Linked DNA regions of Rattus norvegicus. Each later gene encodes a partner of the first gene's protein in a complex. Links are inferred from orthologs where the notes say so. Each region holds a gene or a part of one and is shown in the gene's direction. Other genes may lie near its edges.

Region 1 (3,814 bases):
TTGTTTCTCTTGCAGACCAATTTGGTGGCCTCTGGTGCTAATGAATCTGAAATCTACATTTGGGATCTAAACAATTTTGCAACTCCAATGACGCCAGGAGCTAAAACACAGGTATCATGTTAACTGTTGGTCAGTGCAGTCAAGGAACCAAAAAGCTGTTCATTTAAACACATTTATGTTAATTTCCAGTAGCACGGTAAAGTATCGATAAATATGCTTCTGTCTTATCAAGTGGGTGCAGGGAAATCATCCTGGTTTGAAATCAACTTGGAATCCAGCGTGAGGCCTTACGTGACGCTGGGTGGGGGTGCATGCCTTTAGCCTCGGCACTCAGCAGGCGGGGCAGCCAGATCACACCAGCCCAGTCTGCATGGTACGCTCCAAACCATTAGGGCTACATAGTGACGCCCCGCCTCAAAGAATAAAAGCAAAGTGCAGTGTTTCTTCAAAGTATCTGTGAGTCTTAGGGCAGTGAGTCCTCATTCAGGGCCTGCCAACCGCCAGCATTGTGGTACCAGGCCGGAGAACTAGACCGAACAGATAAACAAACGGCCAGCAGCTGTCTCACAGGGACACGATGGTCTCTGAATACTCGCTTTCACCCATACTCAGACCGATCCACTTTTCCTGTGTGCCTCATGTAGGCTGGGTAGGAGCTTCTTCTGCTCTGTTTTTGAATTTCTCATTGTTGTGTGGATCCCAGTTGCACTGGCTGCTCCCCATACCTGCTCCTACCATTTTGAGATCTTGAAAGGTGGCTTCATGACAGTATTCCACTCCTTACGAAGGCATATTTCCTGTAGTCCAGCCTGCCGTTTGTGTCTGCCTATTTGTAGGGCACATTCACCAGCCACTGTGTGGTCTGTGGTCTCTATTGCACTATCATCAAATAAAGAAGCAGCTTGGTTTATAGCAGAAACTCAACAAATGATGTCGGATGAGGCAATAGGAAACAATGTAGTTTTGAAGTCATGTATGTCTCTGTTTAAACAATATGGTAGATGTGGTGAATGTGATAGGAAGGAAATCAGTGGAGTAAATGGGCCTCATTTTTAAGTACTAGAGTTTTCTTTTTTTAATAAAGGATCAGCCAGGCATGGTGGTACAGGCAGTAAACCCCAACAGAGGCTGGCGGCTCTCTGAGTCCCAGGGCAGCCAGAGCTACATAGTGACACCCTCAAAAGAAAAGGAAAATAAAGACAATAAATTAATAATATACAAATAATAAATGAAGAATGAGAATTTATAATTAAGTTTGTTTTTTAATTTTTTTGAGACAGAGCCTTACGATGTCATTCTGGCTGGCCTAGAACTCAAGAGATTGGCTACCTCTGCCTCCAGAATGCTGGGACGACACGTGTATGCACCACATCCCACTTTATAATTAAATTTGAGTCTAGTAATACCCTAGGTACTTTCTGTTGCTGTGATTAAACAACTGGAGGAGGGAAGGGTTTGTGTGCCTTACGTGTCAGGATCCTCGTCTGTCTGTCTGTCTGTCTGTCTGTCTGTGGGAGGTGACGTGCCTTGCCTGCTCGCTTACTCCAGGGGCAGCACCTTTGCATCAGTCAGCAGACCAGAAAGTGTTGTGCAGCCGCACCGTGCCCTCAGACCCCTCTGATGTGCACTGGCAGGCTCCTCCTGCAACTCCAGTCTCTCAGGGTGACACAGTAGCCAGCACAGTAGTGAAGTGGTTTTCGATGTTTCTCCCTAACAGCCACCAGAAGATATCAGCTGCATAGCCTGGAACAGACAGGTCCAGCATATCTTAGCATCAGCCAGTCCCAGTGGCCGGGCAACGGTCTGGGATCTCAGGAAAAACGAGCCTATTATCAAAGTCAGCGACCACAGTAACAGGGTGAGTACAGAATGGACGCGTGACGAAGCACGTAAGATTAAAATCCTGTCTTTATCCATCAGGTAACAGTGGGATGGGGGTCACTCCCTTAGTGAGCATAATTACACACCCAGTGTTTTTCAGCTTTTTAAGCACTTTATTTATTAATTTTGTGTACGTGTGTGTGTGTGTGTGTGTATACACGGGTGCCATGAAGCACATGTCGAGTTGAGAGGACAACTTTTGGGAGTCTGTTTTCCTCTTTTTACCAGGTGGGTCCCAAAAATCAAGCTCAGGGTGTTGGGGACTTAGTGGCAGGCACCTTTACCCAGGGAACCATCTTGCTGGCCTGGTTTTTGTTGTTGTTGAAGTTAAAACTTAAATATTTCTATTGCATTTATCTTATCCCAGCATTTACCATTTTGCTAAAGACAGACACACTTGACTCCTGGGCATGCTGTTCCTAATTAACGACCATGGAGTCGTTAACTTTAACCCTGTTAACGTTAACATTTCTCAGAGGAATGTGAAAATATGTACATTATTATACAAACCAGCTTTGTGCCCATAGCAGCCATCAACACTTTACTTGTGAAAGCCCATGTCCTGTTGGCCCTGTCCAAAGGCCGGGAGCCCTGTCATTTCACCCACTCCAAGGCCATGCCAGACTCCAAACACAGAGGTCTCCTGAGACCATTGAAAAGCACAGATAATTACATCATGATTCATAACAGTGACAAAATTACAGTTATAAAGTAGCAGTGAAAATAATTTTATGCTTGGGGTCACCACAGCGTGAGGAACTGTATTAAAGGGTTGCAGCATTAGGAAGGTTGAGGACCACTGATGTAAAAAGTTCAGAACTAGTCTGAACTGGTCCTTTTTCCCGTTCATTTTGTAATGACACAGTCCTCAGCTTTTATCTCTGCTTCATAAAGTAACATGATGCTGAGATGTGGGCCTTGCTGTCTGCAGATGCACTGCTCTGGGCTGGCATGGCACCCTGATGTCGCTACTCAGATGGTCCTTGCTTCTGAGGATGATCGATTACCAGTGGTCCAGATGTGGGATCTTCGATTTGCTTCCTCTCCCCTCCGGGTTCTGGAAAATCATGCCAGGTACCGTGCTGCTGTTTCAGGGAATTTTGTTTCTTCATATTTTGTTCTAAAACATTTACTCATTTTTATTTTAAGCAGTCGTCATGATTTTCTCTCCAAAGTGGAAGATAGATCTTACCATACTCACATGAATCCATTGTTAACGATTTCCCCCCACTTATTCAAATAATGAAGCAGGACATAGCGATGTGTGACTGTGGCCCCAGCACTTGGCAGGTGGGGGCGGGGAGATCAGGAATTGAGAACCCCTCAGCTCCACAGTGTGAGGGTGGCTACAAGTCACCAGAGTAATCAGTCAAACTGAGTCTGTCAAAACTCAGACAGCTCTTGACATGGACCACGGACCTCAGAAAGTGGGATGCCAGGCAGGAGCAGTGGAGAAACTGGCTTGACTCTGGTTTCAGTTTACTTTAAAAGTGAACATTTTTGAGCCGTTAGTGTTAAGTAGATATTCTGAAAACAGGGCTTTTCTCTTTACTATGTTAAGTAGATATTCTGAAAACAGGGCTTTTCTCAAGTTCTGGTGTCCTTACAGTTCATTAGTTAGGTAAGGTTCTTGTCATTGACACTGAGGTACTAGTAAGTTTATTTAAATTAGCTTAAATAAGAAAATTCCTTTTACTATTGTACTAGTTTCTAAGTCCTTTAGGAGTTTCTGCTTCTCCTGTTTAGTGAAAGGCAGACTGAAGTTCTGTCCTTTCCCCCTCTCCTATGTAGCAACCTGTGAAGGAGAAGGTCTTGAAGTTGGTATCTGTCACTGGCTCATAAAGGAGAAGAATCTGGTCAGAATGTATTCTTTGTTAGATGTTATATTTAGTATAATTTACAGCAAGGAAAGATGATTCTGAGGAGTCGTAAT
Region 2 (4,391 bases), on another chromosome or scaffold:
TGCCTTTATAGCATTCCAAGGTCAGCATGCAGCTAATGGAGTGAGTACCGAACGCAGCAGCCTCGGGTCTGTGAAGTAAGTTTCTCTGTACTAGAGAACTTCCCGTTCGAGTAGGAAAGTTATTAATATTTTTGTAGTTCTGGAAAAGAGAAAAGGAGCCAGAGATGGGACAGAATAAAAATGGATTTCAGGTTCTAAATAAAAGAACTGGAAAAGCCTAGAAGATTATATTCAACAAGTGAGATGAACAGTTTATGAGAAAATTTTAAAAAATGAATTTACCAAACCATGGAAGAAAATCTACCTTTCTTAAAGAATTTTGTAGATTTTGAGGCAAATGTCAAAGCTATAAGATATTTCTTTGAAGAATTTGAAAATCTTTCAAGTAGATACCTCATGGGCAAGAACAAGAAAAATGGAGCAGAAAACGATACAGTTGTGAGTTGAAGAGATCCCTATCTGTGCTAAATAATGGATGGTTGTCCTCATGGAAGTCTCAGATGTACAAGGCCATATTCTTGGCCCTTGGTCTCTTCACCCTCAGCAAGCAAACTAAAACCCCGTAAAAGAGCATAGCAGTTCTTATGATAAATCCGTCCCTGGATGAGGAATATGAAGGCTGGAATGATCCTGTGGCAGAACCGGAGTAACCTGTATCTTGAACTATTCACAGCATACAGATCCAGGTGGAAGGATGGCCTGGCAGCACAAGAATGTGACCGGTTGGAATTTGCCCCAATGCTGTGCATTCTCCCATTCAGGGGCATTCCAAACCATAAAAGCACCATAAGAATTAGTATCGAATGAAGAAAGGAATGCTTGTAATTAAAAAGAGTTACCACCAAAAATACAGAAGTCCAATTAAGGGGTGGAGAGAACACAAAGGTCTCACCTCAGGACCAAATCTCACTGGGGCCATTTACAAATGAAGTCACTGCAAACCTAGGGAGACTGGGCATATATGCAAGTGGGAAGGCGGGAAGGTGATCTATAAACAGATGGACAAACTCCAGAGTGCACAAAATGTCACTCTTGAGTTTCCGCTGAGAACTTCATGCGGTTGGTGCACATCACATTCGCACTAAATACTAATGCAGAAAGGGAAGCCGTCGATCCAAGTGAAAGCGTTCACCACTTTCCATTACAGGTGGAGACGTTTTGTAAGCTCGGGCGAGGCCCTCGCGGTGTGCTCTCTTCTGAGCTCACCTGCGGAAGCTCCAGGGTGCGACACGTAGGAGGGCGGAGCAGGGTAGGGCTAAAAGGCAAGAGACACCCAAGGCGCCTCCGGCTGAGTAGGAGGCGGAGCTCAGACTAACCCCAAGGTCCTGTAGACGTTGCGTGGCAACTGACCACGCCTGCCAAGTGACTCAAAGGCACGCGCTTCCGTTGTTCCCAGGAAGTTGTGGGCTCCTGGTTCTGCCCCTGACTTGAGGCGGAAGCACAGCTTTTGGAGCTGGGCCGCGGGACCGCTGTGCATCAGCCCATGGCTGCCTACTCCTACCGCCCAGGCCCAGGTGCTGGCCCTGGCCCTGCTGCTGGAGCTGCACTGCCAGACCAGAGCTTCCTGTGGAACGTCTTCCAGCGGTGAGGCCGGCGCTCTTGGTTCAGTCTTCCGTTTCCAGGACCTACCCTCCCGTCCTTCCCACCCCCCACCCCCAAGACCTCCCTCCCAGTCCTTCTTACTCTCCATCCCCGGCTTCCTCTCTTCTGTAGTAGCACAAGGTCGTGTTGGCAGTTACTTTGCTCAGGGCCGAAGGGCGGACCAGCCGCCCTACAGGATCAGGGGTGCTTGCGTTAGAAAGAGGACAAATCTTGAGTCAGGAAAACGGCATCAGTGAAAAGAGGTGACTGCTACTGCATGACTTCTGTCCCTGGTTGTCCTTCTGAATGACTGGATTGTTATTCCGCTGACTCGTGCCAAAGAATGACTTATTCGTCCTAGAGAATCTTTACCTATTATGAAAAACATGAACTGGTGGTGGTGTAAATTAAGCAGATTTGAAGAACCTAAAGGCTTGAGAGGGAATAGAGAAAAGATGATTCAACCCCTCATACTGCTTCTCGTTGTTCCTTAATGCTTGGCACACCTGAGGAGGGTGTGTTACATTCCAGCTGAGCTAAGAGAAACGTTTTCGGCTGTTTTACTTTTCCTTTATTTTTAATCACCAACTCACCTGGTCTTGTTTTTTTTTTTTTTTTTTTTTTTGGTAGGGTTGATAAAGACAGGAGCGGAGTGATTTCAGACAATGAACTTCAGCAAGCATTATCCAATGGTGAGTTGAAGCCTGATCCATTCTCAGTAAGCCATTTCCTTCCTAGAGTTATTTCCAAGGAAGTCCTTAAGACTAAACTGCCGTTACCACCATAAGTAAAGGTGTTTGAAGCTACTGTGACCGTATTTTCTTGAGTACCATTATTGTTGCCTCGCCAAGCTCCAGAACAAATGTATATGAGCCTCAGAAACTGCTTTCTGAGAAATGGGAGCTACAGTGTAGGCCTTGCGGGAGAGTTAAGGTTAGCTCTGTGCAACAGAGGTCCCTTGCTTATCTAGAAGGCCTTTGACCTACTATCAGTCTTAGCAACTGCTCTGAAGAGGATCATCAGGGACACTGACAAATAGTCAGGTGACAATTTAGAAGTAATTGTTTAGTGTTTTGAAAGGCTTCAAGATGGTCCTTAGGTACTCTTGTGGAAACACATTTGCTGTAAGACTGCTTAGACTTAAAAAGGAGGAGGAGGGTACGGTGGGGGGAGGGGAGGCTGGAGAGATGGCTCAGAGGTCAAGAGCACTGGCTGTTCTTCCAGAGGACCTGGGTTCAATCTCCAGCAACCACATGGATGCTCACAACTGTGTGTAACTTAGTTCTAGAGGATGTGACACCCTCACACCAATGAACATAATAAGATTATTTTTATTATAAAGATTATATATTTTATTATATATTTTTTATAAATTAAGAATGACTATAATATATAGTCTTATATATATAAACAAACATTACAACTCTGGGGCCATTTTGGGAACTAGAGATAGGGGAAGTGCTGGCAGCAGGAGCATGGGGAGGTATTTGTATAACGTGAGGAACACTGTCCCAGCAGAAATGAGAGGATTGTGGCCTTCGTTTGGAGCTCTCCATGGAGTCATGTCCTTGCTGGTGTCAGCATCATTAATCTTTCATGGTACCATCGGAGACAGTTTTTTTCTTTAAACATTTTTCTTTAATTTTGAGATTTATGTATTTTATTTGTATGAATGTTTGACTAGCCTGTGTGTGTGTGAGCACACCAAGAGTATGCCTGCTGCCTGTGGAGGGTAGAAGTGGGCATCTGATCCCCTGGAACTGGAGTTATAAATGGTTGCGAGCCACCATGTAGTTGCTGAGAATCAGACCTGGGTCCTGTGCAGCAGCCACACGTGTGCTGGGTTCTCTCCAGCCTCCCATTCCGCCCCCTCCTTTCTTTGTTTTTGACCAACTCAGAGTCCTAGACTGGTCTTGAACTTCTATGTAGCCAAGGATGACCCTTAAACTGCTGATCCTCCTGCCCCTAACTCCTGAGTTGGTGCTCGTTTATTCTGAACTGAGGGTAGAACCCAGAACTCCGTGCACAGTGGACAAACGCCCTGCCCACTGAGTTCATCCACAGCTCTCGACACGTTTTTCTTATTAGATGTCATCTGTAATTCTTTAGGCGTAGCTTGCTTTTCTAATTACTATATCTGGGGGTTATTTTCCCTCAGGTGTGCTGTATAAACTTGGAAAGGGATTACTTGGAAGACGTGATGGGAATTTTAAAAGGCTCATTTTTGTTCTAATGGGGAGCATTTTCTTGCAATGTGATTGGATAAAGGGAGGAAGCAGGTGAGATGCGAGGTAGTGCCTCATAGCCTGGGCATCAAAGTTAAAGGAAAGCTTTTGCCACTTCTGCCATCCACTTAGGCTAGACATTCTTGGTTCCTTTGTGTTTTCAGAGTGACCTTTGCCTTAGGCAAAAGTGGCTGGAATTGACAGGGTTTTTATTATTTAACCTGTGGGGACTACAAGATGCTGTTGTCAAGAGACCGCTCTAAATCTTGGTGGTTTTCTGTCACCTAATGGTATAATGGTAATCTATACATTAGCTACTGTGTTATTACAATATTAGGTAGGTAGGCTTTGACAGGAGTTATCAGGGAAAAAGAAAACTCTGCCTCGAAGGCAGGAGCAGCCGTACTCACGGGATAAGAGGTACGGCTTCCACTGAAGAGGCACGGAAGCACAACTATGGGTGTCGAGTGGTTTGGCTCACATGGTTGGTGACCTACAGCTGGGGGACAAGGTGAAACAGCACAAAGGCTTCAGGGTGAAAGGAAGTGACAGCACCTAGGCTATCAGGGCAGAAGTACTGGTGTC

Evidence for each region.
Region 2: the proteins of Sec31a (region 1) and Pdcd6 are in contact, whole or in part, in a crystal structure (PDB 3WXA), measured with the Homo sapiens proteins. The link is inferred for Rattus norvegicus from reciprocal best matches to the Homo sapiens genes SEC31A and PDCD6. Residues at the interface, in NP_001070675.1 of Homo sapiens: Asn837, Pro838, Pro839, Pro840, Pro841, Gly842, Phe843, Ile844, Met845; in NP_037364.1 of Homo sapiens: Val31, Val35, Leu48, Ala51, Leu52, Ser53, Asn54, Gly55, Thr56, Trp57, Phe85, Trp89, Ile92, Gln96, Phe99, Phe148.

The regions. Positions count from the first base shown.
Region 1 is NC_086032.1:9,532,183-9,535,996, forward strand, and holds part of Sec31a (protein transport protein Sec31A), read left to right. Parts: intron 1-15; coding exon 16-111; intron 112-1,717; coding exon 1,718-1,858; intron 1,859-2,812; coding exon 2,813-2,955; intron 2,956-3,814. UniProt on the Homo sapiens protein: Component of the coat protein complex II (COPII) which promotes the formation of transport vesicles from the endoplasmic reticulum (ER).
Region 2 is NC_086019.1:30,793,744-30,798,134, forward strand, and holds the start of Pdcd6 (programmed cell death protein 6), read left to right. Parts: upstream 1-1,361; 5' UTR 1,362-1,483; coding exon 1,484-1,584; intron 1,585-2,211; coding exon 2,212-2,273; intron 2,274-4,391. UniProt on the Homo sapiens protein: Calcium sensor that plays a key role in processes such as endoplasmic reticulum (ER)-Golgi vesicular transport, endosomal biogenesis or membrane repair.